Astyanax mexicanus: one gene and its partner. The protein of the gene in region 1 interacts with the protein of each later gene in a pairwise test. Links are inferred from orthologs where the notes say so. Each region holds a gene or a part of one and is shown in the gene's direction. Other genes may lie near its edges.

The links.
Region 2: the proteins of bbln (region 1) and thap11 interact in a two-hybrid assay, tested with the Homo sapiens proteins (2 studies listed by BioGRID and IntAct). The link is inferred for Astyanax mexicanus from reciprocal best matches to the Homo sapiens genes BBLN and THAP11.

Annotation. Positions count from the first base shown.
Region 1 is NC_064408.1:8,309,065-8,322,374, forward strand, and holds bbln (UPF0184 protein C9orf16 homolog), read left to right. Parts: upstream 1-8,303; 5' UTR 8,304-8,541; coding exon 8,542-8,626; intron 8,627-10,101; coding exon 10,102-10,340; 3' UTR 10,341-11,571; downstream 11,572-13,310. Other genes in the region: surf2 (surfeit locus protein 2), read right to left, coding at 1,996-2,085, 2,262-2,398, 3,612-3,818, 5,003-5,106, 5,602-5,753, 7,138-7,212. UniProt on the Homo sapiens protein: Essential for intermediate filament organization in intestinal cells, interacts with intermediate filament and regulates intestinal lumen morphology.
Region 2 is NW_026040053.1:950,041-963,327, forward strand, and holds thap11 (THAP domain-containing protein 11), read left to right. Parts: upstream 1-7,162; 5' UTR 7,163-7,351; coding exon 7,352-8,281; 3' UTR 8,282-10,146; downstream 10,147-13,287. Other genes in the region: trichohyalin, read right to left, coding at 952-1,088, 2,564-2,648, 2,731-2,872, 4,213-4,330, 5,700-5,800. UniProt on the Homo sapiens protein: Transcription factor, which has both transcriptional activation and repression activities. Also modulates chromatin accessibility.

The DNA of each region.
Region 1 (13,310 bases):
TCGTGGTTTATCATCTGCTTTTTGCTGTTTTTTTTGTTTTCAATTTTATATCAGGGTGTTCATCAGCTACAGCTTCAGTGCTGCACTGTGCTACTGCAGCGGCTCTATAGCTACACACACACAGAGGGAGAGAGAGAGAGAGAGAGAGAGAGAGAGAGAGCGAATGGTTACCTGTAAACGCGGTGTATTTTATATAAATACTGAATTTCAGCCTCTTCAGCACCCTGAGCCACATAAACACACACTCCCGCTGCGGTGACGTCATACACCTGCGACGGACCCCCACTCCCCTCCTCACTGATTTAAAGAAGCAGTCCTTAACATTCTTCTTTTAAATTTAAAAGCAGAAGTACTTAATATTTCTCTTTTAATTTTAAAAGCTAGAGTCCTTAATATACTTCTTTTTAATTAAAAGCTGCAGTCTTTAATTTTTTTTTTTTTAAAGCTGTAGTCCTTAGTATTTCTCTTTTCATTTTAAAGCAGCAGTCCTTAATATTTCTCTTTTAAATTTAAAAGCAGTAGTCCTTAATACTTCCTTTTTACATTTACAGCTGTAGTCCTTAATATTTCTCTTTTAAATTTAAAGCAGCAGTCCTTAATATTTCTCTTTTAAATTTAAAGCAGTAGTCCTTAATACTTCCTTTTTACATTTAAAGCTGCAGTCCTTAATATTTCTCTTTTAAATTTAAAGCAGCAGTCCTTAATATTTCTCTTTTAAATTTAAAAGCAGCAGTCCTTAATATTTCTCTTTTAAATTTAAAGCAGTAGTCCTTAATACTTCCTTTTTACATTTACAGCTGTAGTCCTTAATATTTCTCTTTTAAATTTAAAGCAGCAGTCCTTAATATTTCTCTTTTAAATTTAAAGCAGTAGTCCTTAATACTTCCTTTTTACATTTAAAGCTGCAGTCCTTAATATTTCTCTTTTAAATTTAAAGCAGCAGTCCTTAATATTTCTCTTTTAAATGTAAAGCAGCAGTCCTTAATATTTCACTTTTAAATTTAAGCAGCAGTCCTATATATTTCTTATTTTAGATTTAAAGCAGCAGTCCTAAATATTGCTTTGTTTAAATTTAAAGCAGCAGTCCCTAATATCCATCCATACATCGTCACAATCGGTTTATCCTTCAAGGTCACGGGGGTGGAAGGTTCCTGGAGCCTATCCCAGCCCGCATCAAGCGGAAGGCAGTATGCACCGTAGAAGGTCCTTAATGTATGTACTTAAAATTTAAAGCAGCAGTGCCTAATATTTCTCTTTTAAATTTAAAGCAGCAGTCCTTAATATCTTCCTTTAAATTTTAGGAAGCAGTCCTTAATATATCTTCTTTTAAATTTAAAGAGGCAGCAGTGTTTCTCAGTGGTATAGAATCCCATTTCGACCTACTGCTAAGTCAAACTAAGTCATAATTATGTGATACCAAGTTGTAATTTGCATCTCGTAATTATAACTTAGCATTGTGTAATTATAACTTAGTGAAGGACACCCTTTTTCGGCAGAAATGAGATATGACACAGTGGACCAACATCAGCAGATGACATGTTTCTCCAAACCATGTCCACTGTGTTACATCAAGCCCAAAGTCAGTGCAGTGTTTTCCCAGAAAATCTTACAGCACTTCATGCTTCCCTCTGCTGACAACTTTCATGGAGATGCGAATTTCATTTTCCAGCAGGACTTGGCACACTGCCCATACTGCCAAAAGTATCAATTGGTCTTATATAAGATTATAATTTTCTGAGACACTGATTTTGGGGTTTTATTGGCTGTAATAGTCAACAATAAAAGAAATAAAAGAAATAAACACTTAAAATAGACCACTTAGATAGATAATTATTATTTTTTTAATGCACCTGTAGACATCATGAAGACAGTTAATCCTTCATAATACTGATTTGGCTTCTTTTCACAGATATCAGCAGTAATATGCGAATGTGAATGAGACATATTCAGAATCATAGTCAGAAAGGTGGAGTCAGGGTTAATGCACACAGAACTTTATTTAGCTTTTTTAACTTTGCCAGCAGGCTTAAAACCTCTCTTTTTCCTGTTGTTCTTCAATTTCTTGGTAAAACCAGCAGACTGGACCTGCAAAAGAAGTGCAACACTGTCAGAAATTATATTTAAAATATAATAAAAGTATATTACCTTGTACAACCTTTATTTACAACAAGTTATACATTTGAAATATTTTTAACCTCATACTTTCACAGTTAAATCTCAAGGTCTAAATTGTATTACATTCTTCCTAAATGCTAACAGACCTTTTTGCGTTTCTGTTTTGCTTGTTTTTCATCTTTTTCAGAAATCTCCATTTCATCATCCTCATCTGTCAGGAAATTGTCTTCATCTTCCTCCATTTTTTCTTGCTCCTCTGGCTCCTTTAGAGTAAACAATGTGGCTGTGGGGAACAGAAAGTGAGAACATAATCTTAAATCTGCAGTAATTGGCCTAGATGTGCCAGAATTCAGTATATAAATTAACGCCAACCATATGGAACAGTGGGATAAATATTTATATCGTATATGAATACATATATGTATGCTAGGCACCCGTTATAAATAAGAAAATGGTCATTAGCATTTGTAGTGAGCTGAGCAGCTTCTTTTAAAGTGGTCATATAGACTATATTGCCAGAAGTATTTACCCATCACTGAAACTAAACTCTATGGCCACAGGTTTATAAAACCAAGTGCAATACAATGTATTGGATGTAGGATTATAAGTATGACAATAGTAAGGTTTTTTCTTGTGAAAACTGTTTATTTGGGTGAGTAAACCGTTTACCATTTATTTCAGAAAGGTTAGATTTCCAGATTTCCATGAAGGCTGGGTGAAGCAGCATTAGCATTAGAGGCTAACCACCAGCACCATACAGAGAAACCCTGACTGTTCCAGTAAGCCAGGGTGACATCAGCTAAAAGTTCGTCCCATGTGGCTTGTTTTAACATGGTAAAAATGCAGGCTAAAGTCCAGTATGCTCGTCTCTGAACAGCGAAAGAGCTAGAGCTAGCGCTTAACGGCTAATGCTAATGCTGCTCCAGCAGTGTTAACCGGGGTTAGCAGCAGACTGCAGTCTGATAATATTCACCTCTGAACGGAGAAAAAGCTAGCGCTGTGGTTAGCGGATAATGCTAATACTGATCCATTCTAATACTGATCCATGTTTACACTGATTGAGAACTAAACTGAAACTCCTGTATAACGCTGTACTTTAGCAGATTGGCTCTACTGCTTCTTAAAAACTGACTGATAAAATTCATAAATAAGGCACACCAGATTTTTAGGTGCACTGATGATTTTAGGGGAAAATTAATGGATTTTTAAGTGCGCCTTATAGTGCAAAAATACAGTACTTTAGCAATATAGTGTATTCATGATTTTTGTGATTTTGTTTTGGTTTTAATTTAATATAATATTGAAAAATGCAGTATGATATGCTGATATGGTGAGGAATAGAACAATACTGGGAATTCTGGAGCACTGGCATGTATACCTGCAATAGGAACAGTATTTTTTAATTTTCAGAGGACTTCTCAGCATTAAATTCAGTGTGCGATCAACTTTAGCATACATGTTTTTGTGCTTTAAGAGCTGGAGTGTGGGACACTCACGTGGATAGAGGTCGGACATGCTGTCCTCTGAGTCGCTGCCCTCCTCGTCGCTGGAGCTGGGGGCCCAGATTCCACTGTCCTGCTTCTGTTTTGGCTTGTGTTGCTTCTCGCTGGCACTCTCCATGCCATCATCTGTGTGCTTGCGTTGTTTCTTGTGTCTGAGACGGGCTGGAACGAACTGCACCCCCTGCTTCACACACTCCTCATCTGAAACCAGATTAGATTAGATTAATTTATGGCCGGTCTAGCACAGAGTACCGTGTGTGTGTTCCAAAAGAGTTTGTAGACCTTAACAAGCATCTGAAAACGAGATGTTATCCATTTTATTGCTGCAGTAATCGCACCTACCCTTCCTAGAACACCTTTAAAGAGACTAAAATCACTACTTAGTAGGGGTGTCACAATTCTCTAAATCCTCGATTAACTTTTATTTCCGATTTTAGGGTCACGATTCGATTCGATTCTCGATTTTCTTTTTTCTTTTTTTTTTTACAGCAGAGAGGCCTATGCCAGTTTTAGATTAGTCTATGGTCATTCATTGGTTTGATTTATCAAATTTACAATATCTTATCTCAAAAGGTGGGCTTGATATAAGTGATGCAAAGTGATACAAGTGATCTGTAATACACCACATTAGGCACTAATGGTCAAATTTAAATGATTTAATTAAGATATATTTGTAATGCCATCTAGTGACTTTTTTTGGTAGCAGCAATGTGCAACATAAAATATATAATAAAAAAATACAGGAATAGTCATGTATAAAATAATAGAACAATTAAAGCCTTAACAAACTGAACTCTATCCTACTGTTACAGTTAAACATGAGAAATAAGACTTTAAGACTTTTTCGGTTCCTGAGAATGACAAGTTTTTTTCTTTAACAAAGATACATTATTAACTTCATCTGAGAGAAAGATGCTCCTTAAGGTACCAAAACTATTAACATATTTCAGGCTAGACAAAACAACTGTTATTTTTATATTTTCAAGTTTTTCTTTAAGAAGATGAGAATGTCTAAATTCTCTGGAGAAAGAGCTGCTCTTTGAGCTACAGTGTGCTGCGCCATTTGCGGGAGGGATCATCGATCCGCTTTTTGACTTCGATGCTCGAGACCATGACATAATTTCGATCGATTTCGATGAAAAATCAAAATCGCGACACCCCTAATACTTAGAAAGGAATTAAATTAAATAGGAATACCTGCGTTGAAGAATTCTGAATGTTAAATTTTGTGAAACTACCAATACCAAACTACTATTCCGTGACTCCAATAAATCTATAATTCCTGATATTTGCTTATTTTTTATCCTCTTCAGATGTACATCTTTAAAATTAGATCCTAAATCTTAATAATAAAATATTCATGTCATTATTAGAGAGGTACTTACATTCTCCTAGAGCTTTTTTATAGCGTTTTCCATTAATGTGTCGTAGAACGTGCTCAGGAACTCGATTGAGGTGTCTCAGGGTCAGCTTGCAAAAAAGGTGATTTCTGTAGTGAAAGAAACTTTGAATGTTAGCTAATACAGCTAAGCTAACAAGATATTATAATCAAGCCCTTAAATAAGAGGTCAGAATATAAATAAACAATAATAAAATCATGTTCGCCTTAGCCTCAGTTTATCTTTCCGGCACCAAGATTCAAGGCTGAAGCAGCATTAGCATTAGTTGCTAACTGGGCTAAGTGCTACCTGGGACAAACCGCTAGCTAATATCTTCCAGGCTTACTGGAACACTCAGGGTTCCTCAGTGTAGTGTTATTGCTAATGCTAATGCTGCTGTACCCCTGTTCCTTACTAGTGTTGCATTATCTGCCTTATAATCTTGTGCGCCTTATGTCCAAAAAATAGGGTACAAAAATTGTAATATGGATTCGGGCCTATTTATATATATATAAAAAAAAACATATCTGATAAGATTTCTAATGATATTTAGAACACACAAAAACTATAAGAAACCTGCAGATATTAGCAGTGACTGGACTTACGGTTGTTTGGTACTGGGGACCAGATGTGGTTCATACTGGCTGTAATTGAATTCAGCATTGGCAGACAGTTTCTTGTATTTATTTCCAGATATGAAATGTTGCAGCTCTGTAAGGTTGCAGGGAAACTCGTGTCCATTCAAAGTGCACTTGACCTGAAAGCGGAGAACAGTTTTGATTAGACTAGACTTGTCACATAATCCCTTAAAGGCCAGTATACTGACTGACATGCCATATGTCATGGGACAGGAACCAGTATTGTGTCCTGTGTCTTTTGCCATGCCCCTAAAAATAAGGTAAATAAATGATAAGTTTGCAGATACAGTAGCAGTCCAAGGTTTAGACACACCTTCTCAGTCACTGTTTGCTTAATTTACTTATATAAAGCAATTTCTATATTGTAGATTAATATTAAAGACATGAAAACAATTAAGGGACACTTACTGTATAGAATTCTGTAGTAAACAGTAAAAAAGTGTTAATCCTCCACATTAATCCCCTGATCTAAACCTGATGAACTGAGATGGTGATTTGAGGTGGTTTAATTGGGATGAGCTGCAGCTTCACAGCATGAAGAAAAACCAGCAGCAACTATTGTTCAGCACCTCCAGAAACTCCTTCCTTCAAGACGCTGAGAAAACTATTCCAGGTGACTCTCCCTCATGAAGACACTGAGATTAAAATACCATTTAGGAGATTAGAAGCTACTTATAAGCTATGTAGGAGCTACTTCTAAAACATATTCTGGTTTGTTTAACACTTTTTGTTTACTAAATTACTCAGAATGTATTCCTGTATATCTTTAATATAGTCTTTAATATTAAATTTACAATGCAAAAAAAAAAAAAACATAAAAAAAAAGAAAAAACACACATTGAATGAGATTAGGTGTGTCAAAACGTTTCACTGGTATTGTAACTATATAACTTACATATGTAATATCTGATAGAGCTGTGTGTATTTGCAAAAACTTACCAATACAATACAAATCATGATACAGGGGTCACCATTCAATATATTGGAATTCTTTCAAATTGTAATAGTATAAAAACACAATTATAAAATCTCAATAAAAGAATAATTAACTTTTTTTTAAATCCAGTCAGAACAGTGAATAGATCTAACTGTACAACACTGCCATCTAGTGGTCGCGGTTTAATCACCACACAAAATGAACCACTTCTGACCCCAATCTTGACATCTAAGCTAATAATTATTTTTTTAAATTAATACAGTATTGCAAAACAAAATATTGCGATTATTTGATATATATCAAATTAATATTTTCTTAGACCCCTAATATCTGATATTGGCATTGGCCCAGAATTCCCACATCGATGCAAACCTAATTCCAACAATTTGTCGAACACATGTAATGAAGAATAAAGGCTTTATTGTAAGAAGTTCTCATGGAGTATATAAGCAGCACCAACATCTAGAAAAGTTTACATGCAAGATTGAGCCTATACATATTATACCCAGGACAAATAAAGAACACACACATCTATAAATGTCATATATTAAGAAGTATTAAAGCACCTTCTTGCCATCAGTGAGCTCCAGAAAAGGCTGGTTCTGGAGAAATTTCCTGAGCTCAGCTGAAAGCTCATCCATCTCTGTAGATCTGAAGCTGAAGATCCTCCACGTGTGGAAATAAACCAGCTGTTTGTTTCAGTTCACTGATCTGATTTTCATACTGATATTCTAAACCAGTTCACAGATCAGCAGCTCTGTACCTGCAGCAGATTATTAATCTACAGAGATTATTAACACACAGCTAGATCTGATAACTTTCTGCTGCTGTGTATTATTTACTGTGTGATCTGAGCGGCCATGCTGCTTTTTGAGGGTCCTCCAGGCAGAAAGGCAACCTGCAGAGCGCCTAAATAAAATAAAACAATACAAAATAAAAGCCCATGTAGTCGTGGCTAATAAAGATTTTGTAATAAAGATTAATAAAGATTACACAACACATGATGCTGTTTTGGTGTTTCTTTGATAATTATATAATAAAAAAATATTCTTACTATCGTTATATATGTATTTTTATTATACGTAATACAAACAAAACAATAAAAATAAACAATAATGATAAAAAAATCACAGTATGTGTCATAAATAATAATAAAAATATATAAAACTGAATCGTTAAATTAAGGAAGTTTCATAAATAAAAGAAATAAAACATTTAATATGGATTAAAATAATAGTACAATTATTACGAAAATAAAAAAGAGTAATAAAATAATCATTATAATCACACTGTAGACAATATATAATAAGAAGTGATGTTAGACAAACATTTTATTACATAAATAATAATAATAAAAATAAAAATAAAAATAAAACAATAGTACAATTGTCACGAAATAAAAAGTATAATAAAATAATAATTACACTGTAGACATAATATAATAAAAGTATATATCAACACATTAATATTAATTATTTATTTAAATATTTTTAAATACATTTTTGGGTACAACTGTATGCCATTTCATTCATAATAAATTCATAATAATTAAAAAAAATGCATAAAAAAATAAATAAATATGTCAAAGCTAAAATAGTTGCATAGTAATTTAGTTTAGGTTAAATAATGTCACAGTAGATAGTAAATTATTTGTAACCCCCCTTCTTATTTTATTTTATTGTATTTTATTATTTTATTTTATTTTATTTTCGACAGGCAGTTAAAGGGCCTCAGTGTGGTGGTTGTCAGTCAGCTGATACAGTAGCCGCAGCAGCGGGATCTCTATGGCGCATTAACAGCACTTTAATTCAGGTTTTATTTTAAAACTGTGCTTTTAAATTACTGTATTCGTTCGGGATGAGATAGAGCAGTGCTGTGGGGTTATATTCATATCCGCTGTGTGTAGTTTGCGGCTGTTTTACTGTTGATAATCGCGCTGTTTTGGTGAAGTTGGGGTGATTTTGAGTGAGATGAAAATGTCCGGACCAAACGGAGACCCTAACCTGACAGCAGATGACGGAATTATTGATGATGAGGATGAATTCAATGAGGAAGGTGAGTTAATGATCACTGTCATCTCATTAACCACGAGTCTGTAGCCATTTATGACCTCTGGGCTTGAATAAATCAGTTTTTTTTTCGATCATAGCTTCTTGGTGGATTTTTTCCGTTCCACCTTAAGAGATTCAGTGCGTACTGTACTGAACAGGGAACTGAGTGACCAGACAGTGTATGGGTAACGGCCGCGTGATTTAAGGTGGAACGGAAAAGTTGTTCATGAAGCTAACTAGGCCATTATGATGGGTTTAAATTAGGAATAAACATATTTTAGGGTAGATTTAATCTATAATCATATATTTAATTCATTTAATTCATTCATAATAGTTTATTATATATGTATATGTATATTATATATGACCTCTAGGGTTCCAGCAAGGGTTCAGATGGAAAGGTCTAACTATTATGTATTCATAAGGCAATTAATAAGAGCAGTTTTTAAATAGCATTAATGGAGGAAAATAACAATTTTATTATGTTGTGTTAATATACAGTACAAGTCAAAAGTTTGGACACAAATTAAATGTAGTGTTTTTTTATTATTTTAATAATAAAATCATCTAAACTATGAAAAAAATGTAAAAGAAAGGTAAACAATCCAGAATATGTTTTATATTTTAGATTATCCAAAGTAGCACCTCTTGCTTAGATGACAGATTTTATAAGGTAGTCACCTGGAATTCAGGCTTTCAGTTAACTCATCAAGCATTAATTACTTGAATTTCTTTCCCTCCTAAAGGGGCACTAAACCCCTTGATTTTAGCTGACCTCACCCTCAGCTCAGATTAATTAAAAAAGGCTAAAAAAATCGGAGGGGTAGTTTGGGAGGGGCACTGGGTGATGATGGGTATGGGTTTAGGGGCAGGTCAGAAAGGAGAGCTGATTGGCTGAGCTGCAGCAGCAGCAGTGTGCCTCTGATGGTGGTGAGACCCAGAGAGTTGTAGGTCAGCAGGAGGGCGGTATTATTGATTGTCTGATCTGCATGTTGTGATGTGTCTGCGTGCCAAAGTACACGGACAGTTAATTTGCACACTATAAGATGTGTAACAGGATTCAGACGTAGGTTACTCTGAATAATTAATTAATGTAAATGATGTAAAAATTATTTTAAAGTAAAAAAAATTAGTGTTTAGGCATAAGAATTACATGATCCAAATCATTATGCACAATTTACAATCCTTTTATTAGGTGGATATATCAAAATAATTTCTATTTAAAAGAGTGTGACCATTTTTCTTACAGTGCATTGTGGGAATCGTAGTTTAGTGTGCTTACTTTAAGAATAATGATGCCTTGAACTTTCTTACTTTAGAAACCAAGTAAAAAAAAACAATTGCATTATCAGTACAAGTACTATTATAAAATAAAAGCATTATTACTATTTTAAAAGTATTATTAATGTACCAATAAAATAGCAAACAGATTGACACTATAATTAAAAAATAATTGTACTTTTTCTTTAATTAACCAAGAGTATGCAGCTATTAACTCCATGCTGGACCAGATCAACTCGTGTCTGGATGACCTGGAGGAGAGGAACGATGCCCTGAACGGAAAACTGCACGAACTGCTGGAGTCCAACCGGCAGGCCCGGCAGGAATTCCGGGCTCAACTGAGCCAGAAGGACCAGAAAGATCAGAAACAGCAGCCCCCGTCTCCTCCACCACCTCCTCCTGCTTCTTCCTCTAATGAAGACTCACCTTCCAGTTAGTCACAGTGGAGTGGAAATTATATTCCAGTCCAGTCCAGTATAGACTCCTTCTGCTGTGATGAATCCCTGCGATGCTGTAGAGCTGCTCTGGCCTCAATATTCCTCAGCATGTTGGTCCTGATATAGATCAGTGTTCATCACCTCCAGTCCTGCAGTCTGTCTGTCTGCACTGTGCTCCATGTCTGCAGTAAGATGAGGTCAGCTGAGTGGCATAGGCTGTTTATCATATCTGGCAATATAATTTAATATCATATTCTTATTTTTTTAAACTAGCTTGTCCAGAATGTCTGTTACTGTTCCTCAGCCCTGTCCTGAATGTTGAACTGGCACATAGTTCAGAGTTCTTGAATCCAGTGTCTATTAGTGCTTCTCAAAAAATCTCAAAATGAATATCAATGAAAAGTTACTTTATTTCAGTAATTTAGTTCAAAATGTGAAACTCATGAAAACTAAAGAAAACCCAAAAATCAGCATCTCAAGAAATTTAAAACATTTATAAAAGACACTTTTAGCAGTGTGGGCAGTGTGCCAAGTACTGCTGGAAAATGAAATCCACATCTCTATAAAAGTTGTCAGCAGAGGGAAGCATGAAGTGCTGTAAGATTTTGTGGGAAAACAAAACTACACTGACTTGAGCAGATGACATGTCTCTCCAAACCATCACTGATCATCAGTAAATTTTACATTTCATTTGTAAATCAATGGAGCAGAGTCTGGAGGAAGAGTGGAGAGACACACAGTCCAAACTGCTCGAGGTCTAGTGTGAAGTTTCCACCAATCAGTGATGGTTTAATGGAGAGACATGTCATCTGCTGGTGTTGTTCCACTGTGTTATATCAAGTCTAAAGTCAGTGCAGTGCAGCTTTTATTTTCCAGCAGGATTTAGAAAACTGCCTACACTGCCAAAACTACCAATTGGTCTTATATAATATTAAACATTTCTGAGACACTGATTTTTGGGTTTTCAGTCTGTGTGTAATACATCTATATAATATGAGTTTCACATTTTAAACTGAGTAACTGAAATAAGGTAACTTTTCAGTGGCATTGTACATTTTTGACATACACTAGTAGTTTTCATCAAGCTATAGCCACCTGTATCTTCAGTACTTCTTAATTAGTGTACTATGCAAGTCAAGAAATCACAAAGCAAAATAGAGCATTAAATATTTGTAATGGAACAAATCTAGAACATATATATATATATATATATATATATATATATATATATATATATATATATATATATATATATATATATATATATATATATATATATTTATTTATATGTAGATCAGTGTGTAAATGCTATAGTTTTATCAGTTATGTAGTTTACTATAGAAGGAGCATAAAGGGAAGGTATTTGAGATTTAACTATATTAACAATACTGATTGTCTCCTGTCCACATGAAAACACGGAATACATAGCTTTTAAAAATAACCATCTTGAAGAAAGGATTTGGACTGGAAACTGGATTCATTGTTCAGATTTGAAGATTTTGACCCAAACAGATTTGCACACTAATAAGTATCCATTGTATTGTAATTGGGACAAGGCCCAACATTAGCTAATGAGTCTTTAAAGCTGTAGACTGGAGCTAAGGGGAACACTGAAATCATGCAAATGTACATGCAAAAAATGTAAGTCTTTTTTTTTTTTTTTAACTTAAATTATTAAGTCATTCCTGGTCAACACATCTCCAGATAAAGTCCATAGGCTATAATGCATTGTGTGTAATACCTACTGTATTTTGTCTTTAGATATACAACTCATAGTTTATAGTGTGTGTGTGCGTGTTTGTGTATTTGTGTAATGTCCTGTATCCTATTGTGTGTCTCTTCTAATTTTAACAGTACAACACAAAAACAATCCAAATCCAAGAGATAATCATCAAATATTTTAATTAACATTAAAACGACCCAAATGCAGAAAAACAAACATCGGAAAACATACATGGTACTTCCAGCTGCTATAAAACCATATTTTTTGATCTATTCCTTTTTTTGTCGTTTGTTGAATAAAAATAGATTATGAAATGTCCATTCCATTCTGGTGTTCATTCTAATTTTCCACATTTCCTTAATGCTGTGGTCCTGGAGGTAGGACTTCTCAAACAGAATAGCTTGCCTCTGTGTAGCATCATTATCTCCTCAAGGTTTGTCCAGAATGTGTGCGTGTTATGAATGATGATGATTACCCATTGGTTAGCTAGATGTTGATGAGATGTATGATGAGTATTATCTGCTACTGCTGCTTCTGCTGTACAATATACGGCTTCCAAAACACACTGGCCTGATAAATATTACAAAAAGGCTGTCTGTTAGCTCCACTGGTACCATATACAACACTCAGGATGTAGCTGTGGCTGCTGGGACTGAATAAATTAAAGGAAATCCATTTTTGTGCTGGATTCACAAAAGTGTTTTAAGTCGACTTTTTTGCCTGTGGGTTGTTAGCTCTGGTCTAAAGGGGGGTTTCCTATATTTGAATCTTAAGTAAAGTTTGTGTTTGCTACACTGTACACATTTAGTTCAATTAGTTTTAGTCTTACATTGCAGTTTAGTGAATTATGGGACTTAAGTAAATTTCCTTTCCAAGTATTTTGCCAAAACCCAACAAATTCCCCTATGATTTCTTTCATTCCTGTGTATAAATAAGGGTTAATCTACAGTTACAGTAGATACAGTAAACACCAGTGTCATCTGATGTACCCATGCTGCTGCGTGAAGCACCTTCACGCCAAGGGTAGTCAAATTTCTGTAAAAGCAGGCGTAAAAGAAAAAGGTATCAACAAATGTATTTATTTTTAGTAATTTGTTTTTATAACTATCTTTACGAAGGGAGTGAGATCATTATTTTTATATCAGAGCTGTAAGCAATTTTGCAGTTAAAAATAGAAATCGGGAATCTGCTGAATTATGTATCTTATGGACTTTATAATAGATATGTTTTGCAGAATGAGGCCAATG
Region 2 (13,287 bases), on another chromosome or scaffold:
CCTACCTACAACTCCCTACCTACAACTCCCTACCTACAACTCCCCTACAACAACTCCCCACCTACAACTCCCTACCTACAACTCCCTACCAACAACTCCCTACCTACAACTCCCTACCTACAACTCCCTACCTACAACTCCCCTACAACAACTCCCCACCTACAACTCCCTACCTACAACTCCCTACCTACAACTCCCCTACAACAACTCCCCACCTACAACTCCCTACCTACAACTCCCTACCTACAACTCCCTACCTACAACTCCCTACCTACAACTCCCTACCTACAACTCCCTCCCTACAACTCCCCTACAACTAACTCCCTACAACTAACTCCCTACAACAACTCCCCTACAACAACTCCCCTACAACAACTCCCCTACAACAACTCCCCTACAACAACTCCCTACCTACAACTCCCTACCTACAACTCCCTACCTACAACTCCCTACCTACAACTCCCTACCTACAACTCCCCTAAAACTCCCCTAAAACTCCCCTAAAACTCCCCTAAACTCTGGATACGAGGTGAAAATAAATTTGAATATTTACAGTATAGTATTTTAGGTTAATTTATAGTGTTTATGGAACTATTTTAAATATTTAGATTTGTAAAGTTGTTAGTGTATTTTTTTAAGGTCTATTGTTTAAATTCTTCAGCTGTTTTTTTTCTGATAATAAAGTTTGATTTTTATATATATTGTATGATGGTTTGGTACAAAGTAAATCCAATAATAATGAAAACCTTCATTTAAATCCTTGAGGTTTTATATTATATAAACTCCTGACAGTAAAGTAAATCACAAACCTATATTTAAGCCCAGTCGATTAAAAAATAAAATAATAATAAAAAAAACTGTGATAAACATTTTAGGTGATTCCGCCCAGCACTAAGTGTGATAGTTGTGAAACATTGTGCACGGTTGTATTTTCACACAGTCAGACGGTACCTGACCGCTGCTCCAGTTGTCTCTCAAAAGCAGAAATGTTGAAAGTGGGCGGCGGCCTCCTGCGACTCATCCCTCCAATCAGATTACTCAGGGGTTCGGTCACCAGGTCCGGCAGCTCCAGTCCAGACGCCCCCTCACTTTAACAGCCCAGAAAACCAGATTACAGACTGAACTTGCAAAAGTATTCACACCCCTCAAACTTTTCACATTTCGTCTCCTTACCACAAAACTTAAATATGTCTTAAGATTTTAAGTGATCAATTAACACAAAGTAGCACAAAACTGTGATATGGAATAAAAATGATACACGTTTTTCACAATTTTACTCAAATAAAAATCTGAAAAGTGAGACATGAAAAGTATTCATCCCCTTTTCAATCAACTGCCTTCAGAAGTCACTTAATGGGTTAATAGAGTTAATCCAGCTGTGCGTAATTTAGTCTCAGTATAAATACAGCTGTTCTGTGAAGACCTCAGTGTTTTATTAGTCCAAGACCAAGAAGGAAGAACTCAGCAGACAGGTCAGAGATAAAGTTGTGGAGATAAAGAAATTTAAAGTAGCATTAGATTATAAAAACATCTCCCAAACTTTAATCATCCCAAGCAGCTCTGTTCCATCAATCCATCATCCAAAAATTTACCTTATTCTACACCTGTTTCTACAAACCTACCAACCATCCACCCAAACTAACAGATCCAGCAAGGAGAGCACTGATCAGAGAAGCAGCCGAGACCCATGATCACTCTGGAGGAGCTGCAGAGATCCACAGATCAGGAGAATCTGTTCACAGAACAACTATAAGTCCTGCTCTCCACAAATCTGATCTTTATGGAAGAGTGGAAGAAGAAAAACATTGTTGAAAGAAAGACGTAAGAAGTTCTGTTTGCAGTTTGTAGCTACAAGTCATGTAGAAACACAGTAAACATGTGGAGGAAGATTCTGTTCTCAGATCAGAACAACGTTAAGCTTTTTGGCCCAAATGCAAAGCACTGTATGTGGAGGAAAAGTAACACTGCTCATCACCCTGAACACACCCTCCATCTGCACTGTGAAACATGGTGGAGGCAGCATCATGCTGTGGGGATGAGCTTTTCTTCAGCAGGGACAGATTTAGGAAGCTGGTCAGAGTTGATGGAGGGAAGATGGATGAAGATAAATAAATACAGAACAATCCTGGAAGAAGAAAAGCTGTTGGAGGCTGTAAAAGACTGGAGATCTTCCAGCAAGACGATGACCCTAAACATACAGCCAGAGCTACAGTGGAGCTATAATGATTTAGATCAGAGAATATTCATGTGTTAGAATGATCCAGTTAAAGTCCTAAAGACCTAAATCTCATTGATCTTCTGTGGAGAGACATGAAAACTGCTGTTCACAGACACAACGCTCTCCATCCAACCTGACTGATCTTCAGCTGATTTATAAAGAAGAATGGAGGAAAAATCTCTAGATAAAGTCTCTAGATGATCAAAGCGGGTAGAAATAAACCCTAAAAGACCTGAAGCTGTAACTTCAGAGAAAAGTGTCTCTACTAAGTGTAGAAATAGGGGGGCTGAATACTTTTGCACGTCACTGAGTTATACATGTGGGGAGTTGAGAATGAGGACGTACCTCAGTCGGCTGCTGGTTTCTGGGAGCGGCTGGTTGGTGTCGGGCGGCGCCGGCTGACCGGAGAGCAGCAGAGACGCCTCGGCCTCTGAAACACAGATCCCAGAACAGTTAAATACCGTTAAACTGAGATTAACAGTAATCACACTGCTGCCGGACACGACACTGACCGGTCTGGATGATGCCCCGGAGCAGACCACGGGGTGTGATGTCCTCATCATACAGAGAAGAGGAGGACACGACCGGAGTCTTCACCGCCCGACTCTGAGACCGCCTCCTTTTAGTGGGAGGAGCCGGAGACTGAGAACTGCTCTACACAGCAAACAGATTCATTACATCACCATTAATAACAGTAACACCAACTATAAACACTTATTAACACTTATTAACACTTATTAACACAATAATCTGAAACTTAAACAGTTTTATTAACGATATAAACACCGAGTCAGTTACATATTACATATTACAACACTTACTTTTAATAACAGAATAATGTTTTCATTTATCATCATCCTTTTTTATTCATCTGACATCACTAATTAACATCAGCTGTGATGGGCAATATGCCAAAAATGTAAATTACAATATTTAGAAACACTCTAACGATAGGGATTAGTGCAATATTGCTAAAAACTGTAATTCTTTTTGCAACATATATTAAAATATAACAAAATAGTCATTTTTTAGTAAATATTATATTGTCTGTTTGTGAAATTGAACATTAGGGAGCAGAATAAATATATTGCAGTAAGTTTCATTGCTCAGGTTCACAGAATATAAAACATACTTCACAAAGTAAATAAATTAATGAAAAAAAAAACATATCAAGGTTTATATCATTATATAAATAAAATAAATAATTATACATATTATGTATAGTCCTTGATCACATGACAATAAGAGCTTAGCACACAGTAAACAGCACTGTGTGAATCTGTAGTCTAATTATGGATAAGAACATTATTCTGAGATTTAAGTTCAGGGAGAAATATTTAACCTTTATTCAAGTGAACAAACCCTGCCATTATTTACATTTTAAAAGATAATTAATCAGAGTGCATCGAATTCATTCCAGTGCGCTAAACTGTAAAACAATCCGAATCCATTCAGAAAACGTAGAATTGTTACCTAATTTCACCAGAAGTGTGCACAAGGTGTGTGCAAGACTGTAGAAAAATGTATGATATTGGGTAAAAAAATGCACATAAATTAAAGCATTTTTATATCACTGCACAAATTAAACAACCTAAAATATATATTTATTTAAATACAATGTGACTATTACATATAAAAACACTGTAATGATAATGCTGAAACGATATATTGTGTATATTTTTGCATATATTGCGATATACAGACCAAATGGACAAATAGCGTCAGAATCCTAATAACTGCCAGTAACATCATCATATTCCAAACACAGTGATTTACATTAAAATATGCTGCACTTTCAGCCAATTCATTATAACTATATTAGAATTAATATTCTGCAGATGGGGAGTTCTTCGGATGCTGAGAATAAACAGAAAAACTCAAAGAAAAGTAAACTGTGTATCACAATAATAACATTTATCAGGATACAATAGAATATTATCACATTAAACTCATATAAACAGTAAATATAAACAGTGAATATATAAGAAGTGTACCTGCTGTAGTTTGTGTTTGAGTTTGTGGCGGAGGACGCTCTGTGGGCTCTCGGCTGGTGGGAGGTTCCTGACTCTGGAGCTCCTCCTCCTGCGGGAGTCGGCCTGAGTCTGAGACACACTGCAGAACCAGGAGCATCACCATCATCACACTTATCACAATAATCACAATAATCATCTCTTAACTTTGACACAGTAAACCGGTCCCGGCTGCGTCCACTCCCCTCACCACTGTGATAAAATAACAGCTATATACTGTGAGTATAGTGAATGTGGTGAATACAGTAAGTATTGGGAATGTGGTGAGTGAGTATAATGATTGTGGTGAATAAAGTGAGCATAGTATATACAGTAAGAATAGTGAATACGGTGAGTATAGTGAATACAGTGAGTATAGTGTATACGGTGAGTATACTGTATACGCTGAGTATAGTGAATCGGTGAGTATAGTGTATACGGTGAGTATAGTGTATACGGTGAGTATAGTGAAAGTGGTGAGTATAGTGTATACGGTGAGTATAGTGAATACGGTGAGTATAGTGAATATGGTGAGTATAGTGTATACGCTGAGTATAGTGTATACGGTGAGTATAGTGAATCGGTGAGTATAGTGTATACGGTGAGTATAGTGTATACGGTGAGTATAGTGTATACGGTGAGTATAGTGTATACGGTGAGTATAGTGTATACGCTGAGTATAGTGAATATGGTGAGTATAGTGTATACGCTGAGTATAGTGTATACGCTGAGTATAGTGTATACGGTGAGTATAGTGTATACGGTGAGTATAGTGTATACGCTGAGTATAGTGAATATGGTGAGTATAGTGTATACGCTGAGTATAGTGTATACGCTGAGTATAGTGTATACGGTGAGTATAGTGTATACGGTGAGTATAGTGTATACGGTGAGTATAGTGTATACGCTGAGTATAGTGTATACGGTGAGTATAGTGTATACGCTGAGTATAGTGAATATGGTGAGTATAGTGTATACGCTGAGTATAGTGTATACGCTGAGTATAGTGTATACGCTGAGTATAGTGTATACGATGAGTATAGTGTATACGCTGAGTATAGTGTATACGCTGAGTATAGTGTATACGGTGAGTATAGTGTATACGGTGAGTATAGTGAATGTGCTCAATGTTACTCAGTGTGTTTCTATTAATGTACAGAAGTGAATTGTGTAGAATAGAACAGACTGGGTGTAGTGTGGGTTTATAATGATCTGAATCTGCTGTAAATAATAATTATAAAATGTTATTGTTTAATATCACAAATAAATAAGAGCAATATAAAACATGTAACTTATTCTACATTACAGTAAATTACTGCAGTGATCGGAGTTAAAATGAGGAGAATCATTAAATACAGAGTAAAACAGAATTATTACTGAGTTATTATTAAACTCTAATCCAGCGGCTGACCGCTGTTACTCAGATTAATCAGATTAAACTCTAATAAAACAGATCAGAACCGGTTCGGTACCTCCGGGTAACGGGAGAGCGGATCAGCTCCGAACCCAAAACCCTCCTCAGCAGAATCCGAGCCGACACCTCGTCCTCCTCCTGCTGCTCCCCCGAGTCCATTACTCACTAATAACAGCTTCAGTATTACAACTATAATCACTATAATCACTATAATCACTTTAAATCAAACTAACCCGCAGCTTTAGCTTCTGTAGCTACAACAACATTCAAACCTACTACTGATGACGCAATATCCCGCCCAGACCAGCGCGCACAGCGGCATCATGGGAGATGTAGTTTTATGTAGTTTAGTAATCCCGTTTCCGGAGTGTTTTTTCTCACACCGCATGTTTTTACTATTTCAAAGTTCAGTATTAAATAATTATTTTCTGCTTATTTACCCTGGAATACTGTTGCGCTTAAATATGTATATAATTGTTCAAAACATAAATAATTATATATAAATATATATAGAAATAATATAAACAATGAACACAAAGCTTGCAGTTTTTTTTTACACTTTTTTAATAACATTTTAGCAATCAAGTAAAGCTTTTTAAAATAAATGTAACAACTAAGTGTAATATTTATAATATTATTTATACACAGTAATTACAAGATTTTTTTTTTTTGATAAAAAAATTATATATTTAAGGTCTTTAGAGTTGCAATCAGAATGTATGCAAGTGAAACGGTCGCAAATTCAAACCACAAAAAATGTGTGTAATGTTTTAACCACAGTTTTCACAAAGAGTACAAATATTTATCAAAATTTCTTTGTTTTATTATTTTTTAAATACGGAAATGTACAAATCAAGGAGGGGAGCTTTCCAGTTTACACTACTAGTACATTTTCAGCAAATGGAAAAAATAAACAAAACAAGACAATGCTAATTAAACAAGGAAACAATAATTGTACTTTGGGCAAGTTTTACACAATTAAAAAAGCAAAGACTTCAATATTATAGAATGCTTAATATTATAGACGTTGTTCTATTCAATCTCTTAAAATATTCTAGTAAACAACGATTATCCAAAATGATAGCAAGATTAAATCTGAATATCTCTATTCAAGTTATCCATATAGTAAATTATGTCATGTGAGGTATAGTGAGGTATATCAGTACTTTTAATTGACAACCAATTACGGATGTCAGCCCAAAATAGCTTACTTTAATTACTTTTGACAAATAAATATTCTATAGATTCTGTTTCTCCAGCAGCCCGTCTGAAATATGAATATTTTATATATAAGGTTAATAATATATGTGTTTATATTATTATAATATATATATATATATATATTGTTTTCTATTCGGTGCAGCATGTAATACTTTATATTATCGGTATATTTCTGCGTGTTTACGATGTAAGAATGTGTATATGGTCGCTGTGCAGTGAAAAGCACGTATCTCCATTCTTTTATAAAGCTGCTGTTTCTCATTGTACAGAGAGGACGGGGGGTTCTGCGCAGTTCTGCGCCGATTTGACCCGCACCGACTCCGCTGTGGAACAGGAAGTGGTAAGCATTGTGGGAGGTGTAGTTCCGCTTCTAGGCCGCTGCGCTGATCAGAGCGGAGAAGATCCAAACAAACAAAAACATCAAACAAACTTTAAACAGCGGAGATCAAAGGCTTTATTAGTACCGATAGGCGAGTTTCCCGCGCCGCCATGCCGGGCTTCACGTGCTGCGTGCCGGGCTGCTATAATAACTCGCACCGGGACCGCGAGCTGCGCTTCTACACCTTCCCGAAGGACCAGACGCAGCGCGAGATCTGGCTGAAGAACATCTCGCGCGCGGGGGTCAGCGGCTGTTTCAGCACCTTTCAGCCGACCACCGGCCACCGCGTGTGCAGCGTGCACTTCCCCGGCGGCAGGAAGACCTACACCATCCGGGTCCCCACGCTCTTCCCGCTGCGGGGCGTCAACGAGCGCAAGAGCCGCAGGGGCAGGAATAAGAAGCTGTTCGCGGCGCTGCCGGGGTCCGTGCCGGGTGTCGTGACGGGTGCCGTGCCGGGTTCCGTGCCCATCATCACCAGCGTGGTGTCCATCGCCGGGGAGGGAGAAGGTAACGGGGAGACGACCGTGGTGCAAATCGGACAGAACGGGCAGTACATCACGCCGGTGGACCTGACCGCGGCGGGGAACGCTGCTGACCACAGCGAGGATTTTGTAGGCGCCGGTGCCAGTGGCAGGGATGGTGCCGGGTCCTGTGCCGGGGCCGGGTCATGTGCCGGGTCATGTGCCGGATCGACTGCCGCGTTTACGCAGGCCGCCGCAGCTGCCGCTGGAGTCCTCATCGCTGAGCAGTGTGGCGCGGGGCTGTCCGGCGAGGACCACTGCTACTCGCTGACCAACGGCACCACCTCCGCCGAGCTGCTGCGGAAACTGAACGAGCAGCGGGACATCATCGCTCTGATGGAGGTGAAGATGAAGGAGATGAAGAACACCATCCGGCAGCTCCGCATCACCGAGGCGCAGCTACAGGAGGAACTCCGGGAGAGGGACCGCTTACTGTCCGCTGCCTCCACCACCGCCGCCACCGCCAGCTCGTCTTCAACCTCGCCGTCCTCCTCGTCCTCAGTGAGGAAGAAAGTCTGACCCGCTGCGGACGAACCTGAGACCCCTGGGAACACGTTTTTATACGCTGATTTATTTTGTATGATGGTAAACTTTGCCGTGATGTAAAGAAGACAGGAAAATAAAAAAAATAAAAAACAGAAAAAATAAGCAAAATTACGATAAAAGACTCATCGAACGTCGTAAAATAACGCACACCTCTTTACGCCTGTCACTGAAGAGAGGTACTGTGTGGGCGTGGTCATGATATTGTGCTGTCCATCACAGGTGAACAAACGTTTGTTTACGTTGCTATGGCAACACATGGGCACCCCCGCCTTGAGGCAGAGAAGCATAACTGTGTGTGTGTGAATATTCGGATAGCTCGCCGGGTTCAGTTGCTCAGACTAGAAGAGACATGCTAATGCTATGTCAGCCTTACGATTGGTAGGGGGTTCTGCTGACATCAGCCTGACCCACTTTTAGCCCCGCTCATTCTTTCTGCATCCAGTGGAGAGTGATAGTGGTGAAATACAGCAGAGATTTATTCGACTTCAGGGGGAATTCATAACAAGTTCTTTGAACACAGAAGAACCAGAGGAGTAAATGAGCCGATTAGAATCAGAACTCTTTAGCTTCCCAGGGGCGAATAAAAGAGAAGAAAAGATAAACTGTGTTTCAGAGCTTCTGAGAGAAAAGTAAAGCTGCAAGGCGACGATTATCTCTGACTGTTGCGCTGGATAATCCAGGTCCAGGCTCTAAAGATCTGCAGGCAGGTGGAACCAAACCCTGGGACGGATTTGAAGCATCTGGACCTGGATTACCCAACTCTAATGTAGCTAATTAGCTAGTTCACCTGTTTGAGGAAGTTCCCTTGTTTTTAGGCTTCTAGCTTTCTTCATTATTAGCTGAGCATCTTGTAGTAGAAAGATACTTTATTAATGCAGCGTTTTCCAGCCCGTCGAGTCCTGCAGTCCCACAGCTCTCTGCACATTTTAGTGTTTATACTGCTTTAAGGTTCTTAGTGCACTAAATATTAACATACTAACTCCTGATGAACAGTGATGAACACTACAGCTGCAGCTAATGATTATTTTGGTAGTTAATTAATCTGAAGAGTATTTTAGTTATTTAGTAATTAGTAGGTAATTGGGACACAGCCTAAGTGCCGCGCGTTGGGCCTCCAGAACCCGGGCTGAGAAACACTGCTGTAAGTAAATGAATTAAAGTTAGGTCATCAATCTGTGTGTGTTGTAGAATCATCACACACTCGCGAGCAGCTCGGACTGGGACTTTTACAACCCAGACATGGAGAATGCGGGTCCGGAAAGTTTAACCCCCCCCCCCCCCCCCCCAACTCCCCCAGGGGTCGAGATTCCAGCAGCATCCCCATGAGGGTTCTGTACAGGAGCCCAACTGTGTGGATACCCCCCCCCCCACCCCCCCCAGTCCAGCCAGATATAATTAACTCTAAACTCTTCCTCCACCTGTTTTTTGGAAATATGAATAAATTTGTGTAGAATGATCAGAATATTTACCTGATATTTAATCCCAGTTCTGATTAAAGAGGATCAGGTTCAGACCTGGGCAGAAGAACATCATCCTGATCTGGATTCCTCTGGACCTGGATTCTCCACACTGAACTTTTCGTTCTTGTTTTATTTGTTTTTTTAAGTGTGTTTAAGTGTGATGTAAAGTGATGATGAGGTTTTGCTCTGGGCTGCAGTTCTCCTGGATCTTCACCTGGATGACGTTGTGTTCGAGTCCAGAACCGGATTTGTTATTATTCACTTTTTTAAATATCTGAGTGGAATTAAGAGAATCTGTTCCAGGATTTTCACCTGTTTGTAGAAAAGACCCGAGAGCTTAAATTAAAAATAAAAATCACAGACTGCTGAGTCTCTTTAGCTGCAGTTTTTGTTATTGTGATGAACAGTATATGTGATATCACATTTCATAAAGAGATTTTTTTTTTTCTGTCGCAGAGCACCTTCACACTAATCAGGTTTAGAATTTAGATAAAAGAACAAACAACACTCTGAACATAAAATATTAATATATAAAACAGTCATCAGTATAACGTTTAACCTCACAAACCCTACTTTTATTATTCATATTTAAATACTAATGCAGAATAACTGAAGTATCTTGTGGAGTCCCACAGGGTTCAGTTGTTGCACCAATTAAACTGAATTATTACAACAGTTTATCATTATTGTATTGCAGCTTTTAATACAGAGTTTAAGGGGTTAAAACAGTGACCATCTGCATATTCCATCATAAAGCGTAGGTCTGTCTCTTATAACTATATATTTTGGGGATGAAAGTGTTGCATAAATTATTGCGTTAAACAATATTTTCCCGATAAATCATAATTTAAGTCACAATATTAATACAATAATGGCATTATAATGCAGTTCAACATTAGCCTGAAAAAGCTAATTGCTATTTATGATGGATATTTAGACGCTGGAATTTGAATGAAATATGTTTAAATATTTTAAATAAATATAAAGTAAATAATAATAGAGTAAACAGTGAGAGACTGACTCATTCTGATTAATTAAACAGAATTAACGGGCTGTCTGTACTTTTTTTTAACAGGCCTAAAAAAGACGGTAATTAATGCTGTTCTCCTGGATAAACAGTGAATAAAGAATACTCAGTTCTGAACAGTAAATTTTATCTACTGCTTACATCATGAAAACATCTTAAATTTGTACCATTTTCCCACTCATTTATACAATATAAACATAGTTATTTTCTGACAGGTCTGTGATGCATGTGGTGATAATTTTGATTAGATCACAGATCTGATCAATAATCACTACTTTAAAATGATCAGTTTAATATTTATAGGTTTGTTTAAGTAAAATCAACATTGTGGTTCATTACAGACAACATTTCTCCCAAATTCCAAATAAAAATATTCTCATTTAGAGCATTTATTTACAGAAAATGAGAAATCTCCACACCTGAATACCATTAAAAACCTCTGGAATATAATCAAGAGGAAGATGGATGATCACAAACCATCAAACCACCAAACTGAACTGCTTGAATTTTTACACCAGGAGTAAAGCAGCATAAAGTTATCCAAAAGCAGTGTGTAAGACTGGTGGAGGAGAACATGATGCCAAGATGCATGAAAATAAAACTGTGATTAAAAACCAGGATTATTCCACCAAATATTGATTATTTCTGAACTCTTAAAACTTTATAAATATGAACTTGTTTTCTTTGCATTATTTGAGGTCTGAAAGTTCTGCATCTTTTTTGTTATTTCAGTCATTTCTCATTTTCTGTAAATAAATGCTCTAAATGAGAATATTTTTATTTGTAATTTGGGAGAAATGTTGTCTGTAGTTTATAGAATAAAACAACAATGTTCATTTTACTCAAACATAAACCTATAAATAGCACAATCAGAGAAACTGATTCAGAAACTGAAATGGTGTCTATTTTTTTACAGATGTTTATATCGCAATATGTATCAATGTTTATTTACAGTGAAATGATTCTTAAACACAATTTCAATATTTTATTATCAGTATTTATTACAGCAAACATTTCATGATTTGTTAAATTTTATTTTCATGACATTGTCCACACTGACACCAGAAATATGGTCCAGATCATGTGACTGTAGGAAAGAACCTCTTTTTGTGGAGTTTAGTAAAAACCATATCATACATTTACGACATTTAATAAGAATTCAGAAATAAATCTATAAATACAAACAGATCAATCAGTTTTAATCAGTTGAAACCCTGCAGTACGGGTTTATCCCGTTTCTGTAAATAAATGTATATTAATGATTAATAAACGTAAATCACACACAGATCCCTCACAGACAAAACCCCGTATCTCCACTCCGGCCGGTGGTAGAGTATTAAAGTCGTAATCGTTTGATGTCCTCACTGCGGAAATCCACCCTGAGCGCCAGGACCTGCCGCACCTCCGCCGGGGTCAGGCGCCACGTCAGAGGGCCCGAGTTCGGCCCCCAGTAATCCAGGATCTCCGACACCTGGAGCCCAGAAGAAGAAGAACAGCAGGATTTTAATTCTGATATAAAAAATAGCAGACTTTTCACTCATTCACTGATCCAACACCTTCTGCTCTGTGTTTCCAATATTACAGTAAATATATTACAGTACATATATTACAGTAAATATATTACAGTAAATATATTACAGTACATATATTACAGTACATATATTACAGTAAATATATTACAGTAAATATATTACAGTAAATATATTACAGTACATATATTACAGTACATATATTACAGTACATATATTACAGTAAATATATTACAGTAAATATATTACAGTACATATATTACAGTAAATATATTACAGTAAATATACGTCCACAAGTGCCAATCTTCAGACCCAATTACAACCTGGAACAATGAGGCTCAAATCTGATTTTTTGCTCAAAGTGGATCAGATCTGATTTTTTTTATGGCTGTGTGAACGTGCCAAATCCGCTTTTTACAAATCAGATTTGAGCAGCAAAAGATGCTCCACATATGAGCTGCTAACTCATCCATTTCCCTTTATAAAGCTACGAGTCTCTCCTCTCTCTAATATGAGGGTTTTTGTTGTTGGTGAAGAAGGAGGCGTTTATACAGGTATCAATGTGCAGCATGTGAGACGCTTCAGGAACAGATTCTGTGTTCACATTACACACAGATACAGATCACTTACATTTACAGTGAACGAGAACCGACAAGATACACAAATCTGATCTGAGCAAAAAATCTGATTTGAGGAAAGCGGCTGATAATGTGAACGTAGCATTTGGACTTAAATAAATGTTCATGTCCTCAGTAATAAAAGGTCTTCAGGTATTTTTGGAAATTACAATAAAAAACTCCTTATTTGAGCAGCGAGTTTTTATTAGCGCAGTAAAACACAAATATTAGAATAAATACAAATAATATTCCTACAGAAAGTGGTGATTCGAGTAACGTAGTGAGTATAGTGATTGTGAATTTAGTAAGTGTAATGATTATGAGTATAGTGAGTGATGGTGTGTGT